Oryzias latipes: one gene and its partners. The protein of the gene in region 1 interacts with the protein of each later gene in a pairwise test. Links are inferred from orthologs where the notes say so. Each region holds a gene or a part of one and is shown in the gene's direction. Other genes may lie near its edges. The genes, in order: gopc, fosl2, rhoq, myocd, hck and dpyd.

Region 1 (3,071 bases):
GCGACTACAAAACTAAAACAGCATTGTGCTTTTAGCTCCACTGCTCTGCACTAATGTCCTCAATGAATCTCAGAAAGAGGAGTTTTTATGGAGCTTCTTACATCATAAATGTCTCCAGAAGAATGCTCCACTGGGACAAACAGTGACAGACACAGATCTGGGTTTCAGAGGCTTCAATGGGGCGGGAGAATCCTCCACTCACTGTAAGCTCAGCAGGCCACAGTGGTGGAAAATTCACTTTTATCTGCAGATCTCTGATGACGCTGAAGAGACTCAGCGAAACTAAAGAAGATAAGAAAAGGTAGAAATACATCCAAACCGCATGAAATGACCTCCAGCAGCCATACCAAAGATTTCTCCTCACTGCTAAAGAATACATTTTTCCATTTCTTTCATTTAGAATATATGGGATTTAAACAAATAGAATGTTTATTTTAACTCCTTTGTTTACTGTTGCAACTGATGGTTTGGTCTTTTACTGTTTCCATCTACAGTTTTCTGCTCCCTTTCAGCACCATCCTGAAGCCCTGATATGCACTTTGATTCTTTGTCATTTTTGCCTTTCCTGTGCACACATTAACACCAATCAAAGATGAGTTTCTCTAACCCACATTTTCTTCTGTCTGTCCTTTCTCCTCTTCTGTCCTTAAAGCCTGCACCAACTCTGGAGGTGATGGTAAGTTCTCCTCTCCGCTTTGGTGTAGCTGTAGATTTGACACCATGGGATCTGTTGCTTCCCTCATTGAGCTGATATTTACTTCCTGCTGCTTTGTCGACTCTGCTTCAGTGGCTTGTTGGGTGGAAACGCCACTCCCTCCCCTCCCCTCACTGGCTACAGTCATTACTTGGCCAGTCACCATCTTGGAAATGGAAATATGAGCTCATCAGTCAGTGTCAACGTTGACTTTTTCCATGAGAATGTTTTCTGAGATGGCACTTTATGGTTACGCCAAATCTAATAACTGCAAACAATCCTAATGAAAAATTTCGTTTTGTGCAATGATTTGGTCTAAATCCTAAAGAAACTTGTATATCTAGATGAGAGAAAATATCTATTGTTTTTTTATGAAGCTCTACGGCTCAAAACAGAATTAGGAACTTTATGGTACTATTTTCCGTCAAAATGTGCCTCACACCAAACAAACATGGAGGAAGTCAGTAGCAAATGCGCTCCAGACTAGAAAATTGTTCCGTCGCATGAATGTAGTTTGTATAGAAGAAGACCGACGTGGATCAGACAGCATTTGTTTGTAAAGTTTGTAAGGTGTTGTGTCAAAAAGAAAGCACTTCCTGGTGAGGAACGCTGTCAGACGGGGTGCAGGGGGGTTTTCTCTTTTGGCAAAACACCTGTTGACCGGTCCTAACAACAAACACACAACTAATGGAGTTTGTCGTCTCTACAGGAACCATAACCAAGAATGCAGAGAGAATCAACAAGCAAAAGCTATAAAAGCAGCGTCTAGTGACTGCAGAAGTCACACAAAAGTCCAGACGCTGCATTCAGGCACAGCTAGGAATTGGCCTATGCTAAATAGTAAATATGTTTAGCAGTAGATGTTAACATGATTAACACTTGGAAAAAGGTTCTAAGTGAAAGAAGTATTTAGTTTCTATGACCATTGTTCAGTTAGTCGTGTCACACTGCCTTTCCACGTTGCAATGTTACTGATATCTTAATCAGGATATAAACCTAGCTATGTCATGATATATAACATTTTGATCATTTGGAGCATAATCGTCCTAAAACCTATAGTTTGTTGTGTCGCCAGTTTGCAAAAGCTCAAACGTGATTAGTTGTGCTTTTTTTTCCAGGAACAGGAACTTATGGCTGGTAAGAAGGAGAAGTTAGCTGAGGCCAGACTGGAGAAAGAAGTGCATCTGTTTAGGAAGGAAAACGAGGCCCTCCGCAGGCACATAGCAGTACTGCAAGCTGAGGTGTACGGAGCCAGATTGGCTGCCAAATATCTGGACAAGGAGCTGGCTGGAAGGTGAGAAGCTGGAGGGAGCAGCGGGTTTAAAGATAAGACCTGGTGATGAATCTTTTTCATTGAGTAAACGAGACTTAGGTTGTCTAAGGGTTGTCTTCCCTAAGAGGCTGGCACTGTGACTTTCAGGGTGCAGCAGATTCAGTTACTCGGTCGGGACATGAAGGGACCCGCCCATGACAAGCTGTGGAACCAGCTGGAGGCCGAGATTCACCTCCACCGCCACAAAACTGTAATCCGGGCATGCCGAGGTCGCATCGACCCAAAGAAACCTCTACCCTCTCCTGTGGGACACGTGAGTGGAGATCTCAAACATCTAAATGCCGTTCATGTTTTCATGGTTTCGCTAAAAGCTATCGGTGCAATTCCAGGAACATGACTTGCTGAAGAAAACGCAGGGAGTCGGTCCTATCAGGAAGGTGGCGCTGGTCAAAGAGGACCATGAAGGCTTGGGGATTTCTATCACGGTAAATACACGATTGACCTCTTTTGTGAAAAATAAAGCAACTATCTGACACATAGTAGACCCATAGAAGGCATTGGTTTGAACCAGGCACTTTGTATCTGGGAAATGTAACCTTAAGGAAGCACCAATTACCAGCCATGTTTTAGATTCTTTCTTAGACTTTTCAGGAAGTGAATTTGTCACTTTGGTCTTAAGTAACCCTCTGCAATAGTAATGGAACAAATGTGTTAAACTTCTTAGATCCTGTTTTGGCTTTAGATCCTTTAACTTGGATTTCCTTTTAGGGCGGGAAGGAGCACGGCGTTCCCATCCTGATTTCTGAGATCCATCCCGGTCAACCTGCAGACCGTTGTAGAGGCCTGCACGTCGGAGATGCCATCCTCGCGGTCAACAGCATCAATTTAAGGGATGCGAAGCACAAGGAGGCAGTCACCATCTTGTCACAGCAGGTAAGGTGTGGCTGCAGTCCCCGCTGTGGCCACAGGGAGCGCTCTCTGACCTACTCATTGTGGCGATTGTGTTTTAGAGAGGCCAGATAGAGTTTGAGGTGGTGTACGTGGCGCCGGAGGTGGACAGCGATGACGAGAACGTGGAGTATGAGGACGACAGCGGACATCGAT
Region 2 (3,586 bases), on another chromosome or scaffold:
TGGTTCTTGCCTTCCTTCTAAAGAAAAAACTAAACTCCTGTACGAGCCTCCTGTTAGCATCACTGACAGATGAAAAGCCGTTTCTGCTGCAGACAGAAGGAGAAGCGTCCCGCTGCTCATGCCTCACAGACAGCTACAACATCTAAATGGAGTAAAATCCCAGTGAGGTGGAGCTTAACAGACCATAAAAATGAGCCCTGTGTGGAATTTAGACCCGGCTCGGGAAGGCAGGACGTTCTGTAAAGAGGCGACCGGCTCGACCCCGCAGCCCGTGCAACACTTCCACAGAAACTTAAAGTTCCTTTTTCACTCAGAGTGAAAAACGGTCTAAATGTTTGCAGTGTGTGTTGCCTTAAAGCACTGAAGAGCTTCGCTTCACCCCACCTTTCTTCAGTTCCTTGTTAACAACTTCCTCATACCTTTGCACACCAGCCAAAGTTCTCTGAGAGCATGAAAGCAGCACTTTTAGGGTCTGCCTCCTTTATCTACATCTGTTTTATTCTAAGACATGAATCACAATCACAGCCATGGCTGAATGCTCAAATCATGCTTGAGATTTTATGTCTTTGATAATGTTTAGAAGCCTTGTTTGGGTTTGTTGATTTTGCATGAAGAGGTAAACACTGCCCTCTTCTGGGGCTTTAGAGAAACGTCAACACCGCTGACAGCGTTCAAAGCTCAACTTCTGTTTCCTCTTTCCTCAGGAGACTGAGAAGCTGGAGGAGGAGAAGGCCGACCTGCAGAAGGAGATCGAGAACCTGCAGAAGGAGAAAGACAAGCTGGAGTTCATGCTCGTCGCTCACAACCCTGTGTGCAAGCTGCCCCTCTCCGAGCGCCACCAGCCCTCGGCGCAGCAGCAGCAGTGCAACCTGCTCCCGCTGTCCATGCGCCCCGGCGTGGGCTCCAGGGCTCAGATGAGCCAAGTGGTGGTGAAGCAGGAGCCGGACGACGCAGACGAAGGTTTGAACAAACCGCAGCGCTCCGTCATCAAGCCCATCTGCATCAGTGGCGGCGGCTTGTACTGTCCAGACGGAGACAGCCTGAACACGCCTGTGGTGGTGGCCTCCACCCCAGCCACGACACCTAATGCCCCCAACCTCATATTTACCTACCCCAACATGTTGGAGCCGGAGAGCCCCTCACCCTCCTCCGAGTCCTGCTCCAAGGCCCACCGGCGGAGCAGCAGCAGCGGCGGGGATCAGTCCTCCGACTCCCTCAACTCCCCCACCCTCCTGGCCCTCTGAGTGGAGGAGGCAGCCGACGCCAGGAAGTAACACTGTGGTCAAACCCCAGGGTCAACTGCCCCTTTACCCCCCTCCTGTGTTTTTGAAGCACATTCAAAAGTCTGGACCAAGTCGACTGCGTGAGCCGTCTCCCCTCCGGGTTTGAAGGAGGGGGGGGGCAATAAGTACCACGCCACAACCCCCCCACCCAAGGTGTGCAACAACCCTAAAGCATCATCCTGTCACCATTTCAACTCCAGGGGTCATCATGTTTACAGACGATTCTGAAGAAACCTGCCTGAACGTACGCGGCAATCATGACTGACGGGACCACAGAACAACTCTTTCCTAGATTTTTATTGACTTTATCCTAAAAGCCATGTTGTTGACACTTGCACTCTGCCAAAACGAATAAATGAATAAATCACTAAGCGAGGCCGGCATTTTTGCTGGAGTTTTATGGAGAAACAAAGACGTCGTCTTGGCTGTTTTTTCATTGAGATTTGTCTTTTCCTGTCGATATTGAGACTATAGGCTCTGAGAGTGTGTAGACTTTTCTGCTGTTTTCTCCATGACTTTCAGTGTATTTATGGCCTGTGCTAATGGAGTTTCAAAACTGTTTTGTTGTTCTCTTCTTCAATCCGCCTGTAGAAAAGCAGTTTGAGCCGAGCCCTCCTCAGTGTTGGGGAAAGAAACCCTTCAGCACTTCCTGTTCCGCCTTAGTGGCTTGACTTTCCAGTAGTATTGTGTGCTTTTCCTCAGCGATTCTGTATCTGAACTTTACGACCTGTTTTTTGACAAAGTGTACGTGATTTACATTGATGTCAGGGACGGTGTTTGGTGTGTCTTGAAGAGCGCGGCAGAGTTTCTGGCTGTTCCAGAGGCGGTGCGGCGAGCAGCAGCAGCCGCCGCCGCCACCTCGGACAGTTCTGTACGTTTGAACAAAACCTTCCTTCTGCGCAAAACATCTTTGTTTTCCAAACATCTCACTCTGGTTCAGCGCTCCATCTTGGGGGCCAGGCAGGTCTCAAGAAGCCAAAAATAAGATTCTTGTAAATCCTGTGATTTGTGTGTCTGTGTCTAAAAGGAGGATTTTGCTCAAATCAGGAGAAGCCTCTGTGGTCCAGACTGTCGCCACTCGCCAATGATGTCAACCCTCTTCTGCAGTGTTTGTATTTCAGTCTGTTTTTTTTTAGAAAAGAGTGGGAAAATCTCCTTTAGATGTTCTGATTTGGGGGTCCAGCCATCGACACAAAGCTCAGCTGGATCAGAACCCAACACAAGAGAGGATGAAGACCATAAACTGCATCAAGGAGTGGAAGCCAACAACCTTTTCAAAGAGGTTTAAACGCCACGCACTACGAAGGGCAGACCGGTGAAATTTGAATCTTGTCCTTTTGTTTACTTGAGACATTTCAATGAATCTACCGTCAGGTTTGCTTGAACCCTTTCTGTGATCAGCGGGGAAGAAAGTTGCGCTGGATGCAGAAACTGCATTTCTTTTGCAATTCAACACAAGCTGCTACTTGTTTGGGAGAAACACAGACACACACATGCTGGGTGTTTCTATTGGGGTGTAATGTGACTAGCTGTTATCGGGGCCCCCCAGCCTGCAGGACGGCCCCAACGCAGCACTCTGTCTGCATGCTGGAATTCTATGGAGCCCTTCAACACACATAGGAAAGCCATGGACTGTAGATCTTCTGCTCTACATGTCACCTGTTGTCTGTTCTACTGTTAATTTTTTTTTTTCAAATGCTTTAACTGTTTCAAATAATTCAAAATGAGTAAAAACAGCAATATGTAAAGCAGTGTTTGTTAATTTAAAAGATAAATGATAATAAAATAATTTTCAACTTGGAATTGTTTCTTTTCTTATTTGTTGGTTTGTGGTTCTGGCATCGGGTGGAATCACGTCCTCCTAGTTCATCTGGATGATTTACTCAGAGAAATATTCAACGGCTGTCTTGACTTTGATTTAGATGAATCATAGAAAATAGGTTTAGGTAGTAAATGCATAAATTCAAAGGCTGCACAGGAGAGAATCACAAATAAAAGTAAAAATATTTGTAAAAAATGACAATCAAAGGCCTTTCTGAGTCGATGATGGGAATCAATGACAGCTAGAAGGTCGTCCATTATAGTGTTTTTAACACGAGGAGTTTTTTCATGGACAGGAGGCTTTGCTATGTGATGGTTCAGCTGCGTAAATGCCTAAGGTAGGGCAGCAGAATGGTGTAGTGGTCAGCACTTCTGCATCACAGTGAAGATGTCCTGGTTCAAATCCCAGGTAGGTCCTTTTTTTGTGTGGAGTTTGCTTGCTCTCAGCGTGCACGTGTGGGTTTTCTCTGGGCAATGCAGCT
Region 3 (3,500 bases), on another chromosome or scaffold:
TGCAACAAATTCTGCAAAAATTTCTCAGCAAATTTACACTGGATGCAAACCAAAAATATGTCGAAATTTACCAACATAGCTAAAAAAAAATGTGATAGCAGAAGGAAGTGTACTGAGTGAGTAACAGATTAAACTGCAAGGAAAAAAACAAAATTAAAACTGAACCAGACCTGTGAAACCAAAACCCGGCTCCTGAGGAACACATGAACCACTTTAACAAGGTTGAATAGAAGTCTATCCTCAAATCTCTCTTTACCCCAAACTACCTCTTTAACCTTAGATGTAGAGTATTTTTTATTTTAATTTTTTAGGCTGACAGCCTGAAGAAGACCATAATTAAAGCAGCAGCTGGACTCCCCTCCATACATTGTGTGATGGAACAGATTTACCAGACGCACTCCTTCTTTCTTACAGTTCAGCCTCTTTGTTGGAGGTTTTGTCGAGGCAGCAAAAAAAAACAACCCAAAAAAGACCACTGACTTGAAGAAGTGAAAGCGGAGACAAAACTTCTTTTGGAAAATACCTTTAACCTCCTCAGTAGTTAATGTTTGGGCTATCCAAGGAGGTTCACGCGTTTCTGTAGATTTAGTCCTATTCTGAAAATGTGAAACCAAATATCGGATCATTTCTTATCCCTCAGAAGTCTCTGAACTCACCTGTGCATTAGCCAATCACATCAGCTGAACCGGCCCTTAGTATAGTTTTCATTCAAAATCTAACATCAACACTTTTTAGCTTTGAATTTTTTGGTTTCATACAAACATAACAAGAGTTGTGACACATTTGTGATTCTGCTTGGAATAAACCCTTTGAGTGGAACCCTTTTTATTTAGACATTTCTGTGTTGTTGTTTTTTACCTCGTATTTACTTTGTGGATTCGTTCACTTTTATTTTCTCTCTGGATGTTTGATCATTGTTGTAAAATATTAAACCTGTTTGATATCATTTTTTGTGGCTTTTGTAGTAAAAAAAAAGACGAAATCTACAACCCGAATTGAGTTTTTGGGAGTTTCTGGTTGATTTTTGAATTATTTTTTACTATTAGGGCTGCACGTCATCAGGAAGACTCATTTCCTGATATGAGTGATCTATATTGCGATGACGATATCATACAACAGTTTAAATTAAATAAGATAACATAACTTAAATTACCTCCAAATGACCCTCGTCTACACAGGAGGCGAGCATCTAACATCAAAGGGCTCCATCCTTGTGGTCAAATGCATAGATGGATTAATTTGATTCGTTAAATACTTCAAGCTGCCATAAGATTGTTTTAGCTCATTTAAGGTTACCGGTTTTATGATATGCATATTGCACAGCTTGATCTCCAGATAACGATATATTAGCGATTTATTGTGCAGGCCTATGTAATATAATGAAAACTATTAGTAAAATATAGAAGCTGGGATTATTGCCACACAAAAAAAACAGTTTTAATGGTAAAGTATTAGAGCAAACTGTAAAATAATTAAAAGAAAATGCTCCAAAAGGGTTAATATAGAGATTTCTTTTTTCAGAATGCTTCGTTTTTGAACCAGAGCGTTTTAATTGGCTGAATCCAGACCAATTATATCACACCAGGAAGTTTAGAAAATGGTGTCTATGCCAAACTCTCCATCAGTACACAAGGCTGTGCTGTGAAGACGATCTGTGAAACCTTTGGAATCGTCTGGATGGAGAAGGATGAAGACAGAAAAAAGTTATATTTGAAAAAACAAACTCCCTAACATGAATCCGCTGCTGTGCGAGTGTTTGCTTGTCTGATTGAGTTTGTCTCATGTTTGTGTGAGGCTGAGTCATCTCTAATTACCTGAGAGGCATCGACTCTGCGTTTCTCCCTGCTGCTTTCTGAATGCCAGCCGGAAGAAAATGTGAGATGGATCACAAGCAAAGGGTTGCTGTTTTTTTAGTGAATGTGGTTTTGTTTTTTTTGCTTTCACCCCTAAAATAGTCGGACATAACGGTGTGTGGTTGTCATGTTCTGCAGCTGCACCTTTAAGCCTTTAAGAAGGTGAAACCATTAATCCAAAATGGGGGACAAAACCCATCATCTTTTGTTGTCTCTGCCCAATATCAGAGCTGTGATAAAGGAAATCATCTTTTAGTCGGTAGGGAACAGAAATGAAGCAGGTCTGCCCTCTGACTCCAGAGATTCACCATCTTTGTTTCTTTTAGGAGGACTACGACCGGCTGAGGCCGCTGTCTTACCCGATGACCGATGTCTTCCTCATCTGCTTCTCCGTGGTCAACCCGGCCAGTTTCCAGAACGTGCGTGAGGAGTGGGTGCCGGAGCTGCAGGAATATGCCCCCAGCGTCCCTTACCTGCTCATCGGTACTCAGGTTAGTTCTTAACACCCGTGGAAAAAAATTTTACATCCATTTTACCGTAAATTCTCAATTGTCCTCATCAGTTTTTGGAAGATAAATAAATATTGAAGCTTTTGCTAGTTTGGGAGAGAACTTTTTACTTAAGTGCACTTTTGCAGTTTGCTTCCAAATGAATGTAAAAAACAGTTTTCCCTTTTTTTCTTTTGGTTTCCATGCTTATCATTGAGAAATGTATTTTTTTGCTACAAAGGGACCTTATTTTTCCCTAACCTGGTTAAGCGTGTTAAAGTATTGTATTAGAAAAGGGTTTTCCCACTGACTGACTTCACGTTTAGACTCAAACTAAGCTGTCACTCCGTTTTGTTTTTTTGCATTTGCATAACTGCAGGACACGCATTTCTGAGTATTTCTCTAAAAACCTGCACTCTGAGCACCGGCCCCTCCCAACCCAGGAATACGAGTCAGATTCACACGAGCTGATGTAGACAAATAAAGAACCGCCCCTTCCAGGAAGAGTCTGTCCTGCCAGCACCGCCCCCCCCAGGCTAACAGACACGCCCCCATTCTGCACAGAGCTAGCGATGATCGGCTAAACTCTTTCCTTTTATACGTTCAGTATGCTCATCCATCTTTCGGATAATTAAGTTTGGATGTTGTTTGTTTTGCTGTGTGGGACGCTGACACGCTGCTGAGGCCGGCTCTAGGATGATGTCGTGAAATGGGCGGACCCACAAGGAGCGCAAGGCGGAGCCTCAGAGAAAGAGGCGTTTTACTTCCTGGTTGGAAAAAAGCTCAGGAAAATAACAGATATTTGATTAAAACTTCATTCTTTTGTGTGCCAAAGGTAATATATTATCACATGTATGTATGTATGTATATATATATATATATACATATATATATATAGATAGATAGATAGATAGATATATCTTGATGTAGTTTACCATAAAAGGCTTAAGAATAGCATGGAATAGGCCATTTTAAAGACTCGCTTTGCTCAAATTTGTTTCTAAATGTGTTTGTGTGACATTTTTCTGATGATAATGGACACGTATAAAACAATTAAGATTAAAATGACATTTCTGACTATTTTTGTACGGCTGGATAGCTCGAATATTGCTCGCCAATTTTGTTGCAGCGATAGTGTTGGATTAGAGTATGTGAGAGG
Region 4 (4,144 bases), on another chromosome or scaffold:
TTGTTTTATGGAACTGGAGAAATTGGAGGTCAAAGTTCAGTTAGGTGTCATCGGTGACCAAAGAACACACGCCATCTGACGTGCCGTAACGCTTCAACTATATACGCGATCACTGTGAATCAGCGGATTGGGGCTCAGCTTATATTTGACACGCAACACTTAACGTTCCATATGCAACCTCTAAAGTCCCACTCTGATCATCTTTTGATCTGTTCTCAAAGCGTTCCCAGTGGTCTTTTCATGATAATTATGTTCTTTTTGACCCAAGAAAATCCAAAAAAAAACCTGTTGTTTCTGGGACATAGTTTCTGCAGAGCAGCAGGGGTCCTTTAGAAATTCACCTCTTAATGTGGGTGGGATTGATGGCGTGGAATAAGCCAGCGCTCATTTCCAATCAGCTCTCTGTTTACATTCTCTCCTGCTATCTTACAGCCCCTTACAACCCTGCTAACATTGGCGGTGCAACAAAAATGGCGAGCATTATCAGAGGTATCCAGCCGTGCAGTTGTGATCCAGATTCCAGCTCAGGCGAGGAAAACAAAGACATTCATGAATCTATTAGTCTATAAGTGGATGCATCAGAATAGAACTGAGCAGGGAGCTTGTGGCAAAACTTCAAGCTTTTCGAAACAGCATTTTTTCATTTGATTTATCATTATTTGAATAAGGAAAAACTCAGAAACACAGTTTTAATCTTCATTTTCTTTAGATGTGTCCTCCATTGGCAAGAAAAATGCTACAAAGGCATGTTAAAAACACGTAAAAACACTATTTTCATTGGAGGGGTTCTTTAAAGTTCAATATTTAACACCTCATGTTCGATATAAAACACTTTATCTTTAATATGCAACGGCAGGCCAAAGAATGTAACGCTGGAGCTAAAGCTCAGGTGTTAAAGGGTTAAAAAGTGAGTGCAGGGAAGATCCAGCCTAATGGAGAGCATGGAAGAAGCTCCAACCCTTGGGAATGAAAATCTTCATTTGACCTTTTTGTTGTTTCCTGAAAAGAACCAAAGTTTTTTTTATTTCAAATTTGCTGAAGACTTCTAAATTGTTTTTTGGAGCCGGAGAAGTGACTGAAAATGGGGACCAATGAGAGAAAAAGCTATGAAAAGAAAGAAAAAAAGGGGGGTTCCTAACTTTTTTTAATGTTATTGTCAGTATGCAAGCCAGAAGCTTCCCGCCCTCTTCTCTGTACCCCCCCCCCCCCACACACACACACACACACACACACAGTTGCTGTGCTCCCCTATCAGACTGCAAGTCTCTATCTTGATCTTTTTCTCGTCATCTACAGTAATCCCCTTGCCCCCCCTAATGACAGTCAGCTGGGCTGATAGGCAGATATATTTACTCTGGTGGCGCGGGAGGAAGGAGTCATCAGCCGAACCCTGCTGCGCCTCGGGCCTCGTGGGAGGGGCTTGGAGGGAACCCTGGCTGGTTGGCCCCTCCCTGAGCGGGGCATATCTGTGTGTTGTCCCTGGCGTGCTCAGAGCTCTCAGCTGGATGGGACCAAAGCCTCATCGGCCCACAGACTCACAGAGAGGAGAGGAGGCAGAAAGCGGCTCTCCACAGCTCTTTTCCTCCATGAGGCAGAGCGGGCCTCTTCTTCTTCGTCTGGGCAGCAGCGGAGGTCGCCAGGGTCAACGTCAAGGGGGCTGCTTTTTGCGACCTGCAAGCGCTGGAACTGTACTGTGAACATTATGACTCTGCTGGGCTCTGAGCACTCCATCCTCATACGAAGAAAGTTCAGATCAGGTGGGGAATCTTCCTGTTTCTGCTGTCTTTGTGGGGGGGGGCTGGCAGTGAGAGTGGCAGGTGCAGGGGGGGGGGGGGGGGGGGTGACTTCAGCTGTAATGGATTTAGATCTGGGATGTTGTCACAGGTTGCTGCACTTGTTCTCCACAACCGGCGTCCTTGCTGTGGGGAGGGGGGTTGGAATTAAACAGCCATGTGGAGGTCAGAGGTCATCTGAATGTGGATAATGGAGGGCATGCATGTGTCCTGCGCTTCAAAGAAGTCTTTTTCCGTCCCTTTTCCCTGCTCCAGCCTGTCGGCGCTGCAGTCTGACCAACACTGCCCCCTCCCTGAAGGAAGGAGGCAGGAGAAGCAGCATGGCTGCGAGCGTGGTAATTACAGAGATGGAGAGGCAAATGACGCTTTTCCTCTGAGCTGCTCGGAACGACCGGAAAGCGGCATCTGTGCTGGGGGGGGGCATGAGACGGTGGCTACCAGACTGTGTTGCTGTAACCCGGGCACCCCTAACGCGCCACAGATGCAGTGTGCAGCCTGATGTTTCAGTCACACGGCCGATAACAACCAGCGAGCTGATTCATGAGAGCATGGGTGAAGCCACGAGGGGGTGTCAGAGAAGTGAGGTCCCCCGCGATTACTGCTGATGACAGACAGGGAGGGTGTGGGACAGTCCTCTTAAAGCTGGAGCTCCCCCGACAAAAGGCGCCTTCTCGCCTCCGCCCCAGGAGAGGATAAAGATAAACTTCTCCTTCAGGAGCTCCTCCGTCTTCTGCTGCGCTGAGCTCAAACTCCATGACGGAGTCTTAAAGACCCACTCTGGTGAAAGCTTGTGGCTTTTTTTTTTTTTTTGATAATGGAGGACATATATATATAAAGGAAATTAATCTTAAAACTGCATTTCTGACTATTTCTTTAGTCAAATTGTCATAATTAAGGAGCAGACCAAAAAAAAGTCAGCTGTAAAATTATCATATTTTTTTAGTAGAAAATGCAGATGGGGCCAGAAACTTCCCGCTCCTCTCCATTCTGATGCATCCACTTCCAGACAAATAGATCCATTTCTGTCTTTGTTTTCCTCGTCAGAGCTGGTGTCTGGATCTAAACTGTGAGGCTGAATGGCTCCGATATTTGAGGCCATTTTTGTTGCCATGGTAATGTTAGGTTGGGGTTGTGAGGGGCTGTAAGATAGCGGGAGAGCTTGTAAACAGAGAGCTCTCAGTAACGGGGAGGGGAAGTGGGAGCGGGGTTGCTCTGGGCCATCGGCCACAACTCGGAGGTGAATTCTCATTTTTATGTAAGAATCACATGCTTTTTACAGAAAATGTTTAACGTGAGGAGGTAGTATAAAATGTGACACTGACGATGAATTTTTACCTGGCAAAGATAAAACCTACAACTTTATTTGTCTGATTTTAACCAAACCAACTCCATCCATCCATCTTCAGAGCCCACTAATCCCTTTCAGGGTGACGGGGTTGTTGGAGTCAACCAAGCTGCTGGGTGAAGGCGGGCTACACCTTAAACAGGTCACCAGTCCACTGCAGGGCGCCAAACCAACCTAAAATACAGATTTCAATGATGTCGCAAAAGGATTTGATTATCCTTTTTATGATCTTCAAAGAATTCTACAGCAAATCAATCTGCAAATAGTACACAAGAAAAACAACTATTTATTAGGAGTTAAATGAAAATTAAGCTTTAGAAACTATCAAATCTGTATGAATGTTTCGTTTTTCCAGGGCATAAGTCCAGTCAGCGCTTTAGGCTGCATTACTGGCTTTTATAAAATGCACCAAACAATTTACACTGCAGGCTAAAGCAGCAGGAGGAGCAGCTCCGCATGGCAAAAACTGAATCTTATGAACATAATAAAAAAAGATTTTAAGACAAAATATCTCATTTTGTCTTAAAAGAAAAATAATCTTCTATCCAGAAAGTTTTTCAGTAGCAGAATAATCTGAGTTTGAGAAAACGTGAGAAAAACTTTTTTCTTGGGATAAGAGTTCTGGTTAAGAGCATTTTTCAACCTATTGGAAATTTTGCTTGTTTTAAGAAAATTAATCACATTTGTGACACATTTTCTGAAGGCGTTTTTAAAATGCACTGAGAACCAACGACCAAGCAGCTTTAGAAGGTTCTTGGAGATCCTGTTCACCGACCAGCGCAAGAAAACACACAACGACGATGCAACCAACCCAGGACAGGACAGAGAGGAAGCCCTTTCAAAACAGAAAAAAGAGGGAGAATTCTCAGCTGTCTCCAAACTTTTTCCTGGTTTCAAAGGGTAAAAGGGGAGGCAGCGCTCCTTCAGAGCATCCCCTCCCTGGTTTGTGTTCACGGCGGTGGCGTGAGGCCGTACCTCACACACGCTGTAAATCTGAGCTCTTGTA
Region 5 (2,797 bases), on another chromosome or scaffold:
AAGCCCAGAAGATGGTGAGAAAATTCAGCTATGTTTCTGCTGATCTCCAGGGATGACCAACCCAGAAGTGATCCGCTCCCTGGAGAAAGGCTACCGAATGCAGCGCTTGGAGAGCTGTCCTACCGAACTCTATGACATAATGTTGGATTGCTGGAAGAATAAAGCAGAGGAGCGCCCCACCTTTGACTACCTGCAGAGCATTCTGGAAGATTTCTTCACAGCCACTGAGAGCCAGTATCAGCAGCAGCCTTGAGTCGCATTACATTTGTTTCTTATGTGTTCTGTACGTATTACATACCCACTGAGCCTTTTCATTTATCCTTCTTTGTCTTTTCATACTCAAAAAAAAGAGTCTTATTACAACGTAGCTCAGTCATTTTCCATACATCCACGAATAAGCGATAACTAAAAAGTTCATGCTTTTAGACTTAAAATAAGTTAATTTTATCATCAAAACTATTTTTCTTTTTTTGTGTGTGGGGGGGGGGGTAAACCACTTGTCTGAAAAAAGTTAGATCATCAGCGAAGAAATCAACTTTTATTTGGCGTTGTAGAGCTGTTACAGGCGAATACGATTTGCACGGCCAGTTTCAATGTTAAGTCATTGTACAGACGCCGTCAGAGGTCCTGCGTTGCATTTGGAGTGTTGGTTGCAGCGGTCTGGTGGCAGCACGTTGCAGCAAAAATTCTGACGTGCGATATTTCCAGAGTTCAAACATCAAAACTTTCGCAAAGAATATGTGTCACATAAACCAATCAGAAACTTAGCTTTGACCCGTGACGCATTGATGGCGTGATCAGGGGGGTGTAGTCCAGAAGTGATCAATGTAGATTTTTTGGTCAGTGGAGATCATTACCTCTTCCTGTAAGGTTTGGAAATCCCTCCTCCACTTCCTTTTTTACCCCAGTTAAATCAGGCTTTGAAAAACCCTGTTTTTCCGACCGCTTTTAGCAATTTGGGTTGTTTGATATTTTCCGAAGCAGCTTAATGTAAATATGTTATCTTGAAAGAATTTTATAACGCCTTTTTTCAAATAATTGGGAATGGGCTTATAATTCCTGTCATTTATTCCAATGCATCGGCTTTAAAAAAAAACAACAGCTCACTTTTTTAGCTGCAGGCTACTTTGCATATTTAAACCTCGTGCACCTCTATTTCAACAGAAAAAGCATTGTCTTGCTATATCATCTACTTTTTGGAGGCTTGTTTAACATCAGTTTTTCACTTATAATAGATTTATTTGTCCTATTACAGTTTAGTTCAATTTCACCAATAACAGGAACGCATCGTTGGATCATAAAATGTCTGCATAGCAACCGTGCAAAGCTCGGATCCGTCTAGACGCATAATAAATCAAACTGTAGCGTCGTCTGTTAGAAGAAAACTGCATTATACAAACAGCATTTTGGTTTTCAAAAGTGGCTCTCTTAGTGTAAAAGATGTATTTTATAATGTAATAAACAAAATGAGTGTTGCAAGTCAGAAACTCATTTTTCTTGTCCCATCTGAAATGCCCTTAAAATTCCAACACTGCAAAGTAAAAACTGCTTTTTCAAACATAGAATAGTTTGAAGGCTCATATCATATGGATAGAAAGTCTTCTTTCTTTACAGGAAGGCTGTTTTTTTCTGTCTGCAAACCTTTTTATTTTATATATCAAACTGAGCTTATTTCCTCACAGTGCCTTCTTAATACAGTAGCCATAAAACCCTGTGTATGATCTGTTCACAAAGTCTTGCGGAAGTTTAGTGTTTTTCAATAAAACAATATATTTTTATTGCTGTGTAACTTATTTTTAAAAGATGCATAAATGTAACAAGTTGGAGAGGTACCGTACATATTTCAATGATATGGTGACTGGAGCAGCATTTTATTCCCAAGAGCTTTTTATATCTTTGTGTTAAAGGGTGCATGTGAATGACTAGTGATGGCTGCTTTTTCCTTTGCTGCAGCATCTGTGTCTTTCTCATATGTTGTTTGAATATTCATAATGGTTTTTGCACATTTAAACTATGTTTGGTGACAGAAAATCAGAGAAATTTAAAGGGAAGCTATGAGCCTGCAATAGAAATGATTTTGTGCTGGCATAAATTGACCCACTATTTATCAAAATCTGTGAAGCAAAGATCTAAGACGTTTGTGCTTTTCCTAAATTATTATGATTGAAAGAATTTGCAAAGTTCTGTATATAATCATAGGAATATGTTTATTTTTTTGTTCATTCTCTCTACCAATATGAATCTTTTTGCAGCATCTGCACCTGAAATGTTAAAATAAATAGTTTTTAAAAAGCAAATGTGTTATTAGTTTGTTTTCATTTATTGTTAGAATTGTGTTCATTCTTTTTTTTTTTTTTTTTTTTTTTTTTTTTTTTTTTTTTTTTTTTTTTTTTTTTTTTTTTTTTTTTTTTTTTTTAAAAAAAAAAAAAAAAAAAAAAAAAAAGAATTGTGTTCATTCTTAAAAGATCGTAATGAAGCTATTGGGAAGAGTAGTGGAAAGTTAGCTGAGGTTAGAAGGGAACATTTGGGGTATGGTGAGCAACAGTTTGCAAAGAAGAAGAACCAAAGATGCAAAATTTGCTTTGACCCTTGTGCTATTCTAGGCACTTTGACGTTGGGAGTTGGGTCATCTAGACCCACTAGACAGTGCGCTGAACCTTTTTTCTTCAATGATCTGTGATCTTCACTGGTGTCCATGGATTACATGAAATCCTCTTCACCTTTATCCACCTTTGTCATGGTAGGGAGAACAGGTCAATGGAAGGGTGGGGTCATCTAAGATAGCACAAGGGTTAAG
Region 6 (4,167 bases), on another chromosome or scaffold:
GCCTTGTTGCTAAGCAACTCCCCCAGACCCATACTCTAGCATAAGAGTGTGCCTAATGATAAGCCAAGTCCTCACAATGATTTGATATGTCAAGCTGCACATCTTTGTGCTTTTGAAGCTGAAAAACGTACTTTGAACACGCAAAATGCACAAAAATATTCTTAAAAATGAAGGGTTTTGGATGTTTTGCACTTTATCTACTTGGTAGATTTGTTGGAAACATTTGATGACGTATTTGTGGTATTACAGTCACTTAATGCCAATATAGTAAAACAAAAGTAAACATGGCAATTAAAAATAACCTTTTTTTTAAAACACATTTGTAGTTGCTAATGACATTGTGTACACAAAACATGCATCCAAATGCTTCTTCCAACAACTGAAACAGCAGCTCAGTCTTATCTAATTTTTAAGGGACTCAAAAGTGTCAATCATAAATCAAGCACAGGGACCAATTCAGTTCCACAAATGGGCTAAACCTTAAAAGTAAAGTACGTCCAGGTTTTAGGCTGTGACTATAACAATGGATTTGAGGTGACGAGACATATGTCTATTATAATAATTATGAAGCACACTTGATAAAAATAGAAGGGAAACCAATGTGCTTGAGTTCTACCTCTTTACCTGTGTGTATTCTCTTATGTGTCCTCAGTTATATGCAGATATTAATTCCACTAACATTGTCTTTAATTGCAAATTGAGGAGGGGGGGGGGGGGTCCTGCATTATTGATTGACGTACAAGCAACCCAAAAACTGACACCTGAAAGCACCTGAACACATGGCTTTGACTTTAACAGATCACATTGGCTTTGACTGAGAAAGGTGTTTCATATTTGTCTACATTTTTAGCATCAGATAGTGTATGTTGTTCCATTTGTGACATTGTTTTTTTGTGTGCCCCACATAAAGTATAAATTACACAACATAACAAAGCAGCATAAACACGTGGGAGTTGCCTCAAGTCTCATCTTATTCAGCGCAGCAGTGGCAGAAGGGACACATTTGGCAGAATCGTGCTCCCGTCCTCTTCATTGTAGGTTCAGTTCTGAAATGTCTGCCTTTACAAATGGGTCATGCATTGCTTAAATCATAAAGTAATACACTAAGTTATTATCAGAATGTTTAAGCCTATACAACCAGAAAACAAGTTCACTTGAGGCAGAAAATGATTAACAATCCTGTACACGGTGAAAAAAATGCCAAGAGGCCTCAACCCCCTATCAGAGGTGGATTTTGAACTCAAAAGATTACAATGTTAACTCTTTCCCATATCAAAGGTCAAGTCCAGCCTACTTGGAAACATGCCCACTGTCCACCTATCAGCCAGCGGGCATTTGGAAGGAAGCAAAGTTGGTGACGTTGTCTGACCTTTCCTGCAAGAGAGGGAAGAGGGCAAGCAACTGAGACAGTCACTTTTTGGAGCTCCTGGGATCAGAGCTGTCCCGGACAGTGCTTCGGACGCATCTAATCCAGAAAAACCTGCTGGGATCTCCTTCACTATATAAAAAAAAACCTTTTTGTTGCTGATCGAGGCAGAAACATGCTGAGTAAAGATCTTCCAGACATTGAGGTAAATTGTGCTTGCTAAAGAAGCTACCGGAGTCTCACTCTAGTATTCTGATCAAACAACTTAAAAGCTTAAAATGTTCTGTTTATATTTACTGGTTGATTTGGATGGAAAATCAAAACCAGAATCATTTAAAGACACAGAGATTTAGACTTTTGTCTTAATTTACTTTTCCAATCACATCCACTAAAATACTATGAGGTCAATTTAGTTGTATGGCTTTTTTCAGAAAAACAGATTGTGAAATTTGCCTTTTTTAAGTCATTTCACAATTATGTTCTGGAAAACCAAGTGTTTTTAGGAAGTTTAAAGCCATTACAGAGTAAAAACGCCATGCATTTAATAGTTTTAAAATATAACCTTGAGAATGGAGGCACACTTTCCGGAGTAGAGGTTCAGAGTTGTCACCTTTTTAAAATTTTGATTAATTCTTGATTTTTTAATTTTTTATTTGATTAATTAATAATTAAGTGAATGCTCCAAATAAAGAAAAATGAAGCTGTGATCTACAAGCTAGATGGAAACATTTCCTTTTCATTGAAGCAGATTTAATGGCTGCAAAAACTTTAACAGGGCAGCAGGAAGGAAGTCCATCTTGCACAATTTTGCAGGAAAATTGCAACCGTTGCATTAATGCAAAAAGGAATATAAAAATAAAAACATCTGAAAAAGTTTACATGAATATGCATTCTACAGAGATGTAAAAACTTCTGGAAAATGACAAAATTGAATTTGTGAAATCTTTTAAGCCGTGCAAGTGAAAAACCCAAACTGAGGCCCAAAGGACATAAGCAATGTCCCTGCAGAGTCCTGGAAGTGAGAATTTGGAATAAAAAAATATTAAATGCAGCAGAACTCAGAATAGACTTTCCACCTTTGCCAGGCTTCAGCTGTGACATTTTTCATTATAAGCATCACCAGATTCTAAAGTAAAGTCATACACTTGGGTAAAAGAAAATCCAGACATTGGACCTTTGCTTTTTTTTTACAATTTTTTCTCTTTAAGTGGCCAGTTATCACAGTTTAAAAGCCTTAACTTTGCTCATGGGTGAAATTAGTTGAATTCAAAATGTTTAAAGCATTACTCAACCAGACATGTGCATTATGCACTCGATGAGGATCAGTGGCACGTGGCTGAAAGGGGGGGACACGGTGTTCTCGTGGAAAGGGGGAGTCTCCCTTTGCAAGAGATTCTGAGCATGTAGTAAATGTTTAGCAACAGAATGGGGGTTGAAAAACTCATGTGGCAAAGTGTACATTATCCAGACTAGGGGCAGAAAACAATTATTTACAAAAAAAATTACAAATGACTTATTTTCTGTATTGAGAACAGCATTAGAAAAAAATCTAAATCTGTATAATCTATCAGGATTTTTGTCAGAATCACATTTGTGAGTGAAGTTTGAAGCTTGGAAGTTCTTCAAGCGTTACATTTTTAAACTACTTTTAAACAGTAACCAACATTGACCAAAAGGGACAGAGCTGAAGCATCATGCTTATCAAAGTCTATCCAAACTGGATATGAGACACAGCAACCTTTGTCATTTCGTCCCTTAAGTCTTTCGTCCCTTAAGTCTATTATAAGACTGTCTCATCTCAAATAAATTAGTAAATTGACCAGAAATTAGACACATTTTATGTAAGGTTTACATTTTATACAGGCCAGAGTTACCACGACTCTGCTCTAACATGCTGTTTTGTTTTAAATACTCTTGATCTAATTGGATAAATAATTTTGTATTAAGGACTCGCCTTCGTGACATTTAATTTTAATGTTTTAGCTGTCATGTGTAAAATGTCAGTAAGCCTAAGATTATCATCTTGCTGTTATCGTATCACTTTGAAACCAATCATTCAAAATGCCAGATTTCCAGGAATGTTCAAAAGTCTGAACAGCAAATTTCTCCTATTCCTATTACAGCATTTGACAATAACATCTCAAAAATTTGGTTGGGGGTTTAGGATGTTTAGATCATATTGAAGAAAACAGCTGGAAAAAGGTTTTTCTGTATAACCTGTAAGTAACTTGCTTCTACTTTGGTTTTACCAGCATAGTTAGTTTTTGGCAATGTTTTACTAAAAGTAATCATCTTAGCTGATGTAGGGCAAATAAATACAAAAAAGTACTATTATTAAAATATTAATTTCCCTGTATGACCAACAGGGGTTGGACTCTACTAAAGTGAAGCATTGTTTATGAGTGATGAAAGGGAATTTACTATTGTGGAGTTCATTTTTTTCTTTCTTGTTACATTTCTGCAAAGAAAAATTGGAGTCTGTTTCAAAACCACATGCAGAAGCCAAGAAGGGCTGAAGTTACATTTTTAGTTTTGTTATATTTTTTGCTCTGTCAAATTTTGGAAAAGATATTGTTAAGAATATTTTCTTGCGTTAAACAAAAGTAGCGTTGAAATCCTGGGGAATAAATACAAAATCAATCACCTTTAATCTGAATGACAGGTTAAAATAACCATTGAGTTGCACTTGATGGTACATTCTGGCCACTTGTATAAGTCTTTCCCTGTAAGTTATTTAAAGAATAATTACTATTTCCATTTAGAGTATTTTGCTTTTATTGGATCATGCTGTTTTTCTTTTC

Evidence for each region.
Region 2: the proteins of gopc (region 1) and fosl2 interact in a two-hybrid assay, tested with the Homo sapiens proteins (2 studies listed by BioGRID and IntAct). The two-hybrid records come from large-scale screens. The link is inferred for Oryzias latipes from reciprocal best matches to the Homo sapiens genes GOPC and FOSL2.
Region 3: the proteins of gopc (region 1) and rhoq interact in a two-hybrid assay, tested with the Homo sapiens proteins (2 studies listed by BioGRID). The link is inferred for Oryzias latipes from reciprocal best matches to the Homo sapiens genes GOPC and RHOQ.
Region 4: the proteins of gopc (region 1) and myocd interact in binary tests that used the Homo sapiens proteins (3 or more experiments, as listed by UniProt). The two-hybrid records come from large-scale screens. The link is inferred for Oryzias latipes from reciprocal best matches to the Homo sapiens genes GOPC and MYOCD.
Region 5: the proteins of gopc (region 1) and hck interact in binary tests that used the Homo sapiens proteins (3 or more experiments, as listed by UniProt). The two-hybrid records come from large-scale screens. The link is inferred for Oryzias latipes from reciprocal best matches to the Homo sapiens genes GOPC and HCK.
Region 6: the proteins of gopc (region 1) and dpyd interact in a two-hybrid assay, tested with the Homo sapiens proteins (2 studies listed by BioGRID and IntAct). The link is inferred for Oryzias latipes from reciprocal best matches to the Homo sapiens genes GOPC and DPYD.

The regions. Positions count from the first base shown.
Region 1 is NC_019882.2:11,944,021-11,947,091, forward strand, and holds part of gopc (Golgi-associated PDZ and coiled-coil motif-containing protein), read left to right. Parts: intron 1-652; coding exon 653-676; intron 677-1,812; coding exon 1,813-1,988; intron 1,989-2,114; coding exon 2,115-2,280; intron 2,281-2,356; coding exon 2,357-2,452; intron 2,453-2,735; coding exon 2,736-2,900; intron 2,901-2,977; coding exon 2,978-3,071.
Region 2 is NC_019880.2:25,929,628-25,933,213, reverse strand, and holds the end of fosl2 (fos-related antigen 2), read left to right. Parts: intron 1-704; coding exon 705-1,244; 3' UTR 1,245-3,086; downstream 3,087-3,586.
Region 3 is NC_019873.2:6,511,490-6,514,989, forward strand, and holds part of rhoq (rho-related GTP-binding protein RhoQ), read left to right. Parts: intron 1-2,179; coding exon 2,180-2,344; intron 2,345-3,500. UniProt on the Homo sapiens protein: Plasma membrane-associated small GTPase which cycles between an active GTP-bound and an inactive GDP-bound state. In active state binds to a variety of effector proteins to regulate cellular responses. Involved in epithelial cell polarization processes.
Region 4 is NC_019877.2:20,228,182-20,232,325, reverse strand, and holds the start of myocd (myocardin), read left to right. Parts: upstream 1-1,344; 5' UTR 1,345-1,702; coding exon 1,703-1,757; intron 1,758-4,144. UniProt on the Homo sapiens protein: Smooth muscle cells (SM) and cardiac muscle cells-specific transcriptional factor which uses the canonical single or multiple CArG boxes DNA sequence. Acts as a cofactor of serum response factor (SRF) with the potential to modulate SRF-target genes.
Region 5 is NC_019865.2:5,151,761-5,154,557, reverse strand, and holds the end of hck (tyrosine-protein kinase HCK), read left to right. Parts: intron 1-50; coding exon 51-253; 3' UTR 254-2,297; downstream 2,298-2,797. UniProt on the Homo sapiens protein: Non-receptor tyrosine-protein kinase found in hematopoietic cells that transmits signals from cell surface receptors and plays an important role in the regulation of innate immune responses, including neutrophil, monocyte, macrophage and mast cell functions, phagocytosis, cell survival and proliferation, cell adhesion and migration.
Region 6 is NC_019875.2:21,094,915-21,099,081, reverse strand, and holds the start of dpyd (dihydropyrimidine dehydrogenase [NADP(+)]), read left to right. Parts: upstream 1-1,367; 5' UTR 1,368-1,541; coding exon 1,542-1,571; intron 1,572-4,167.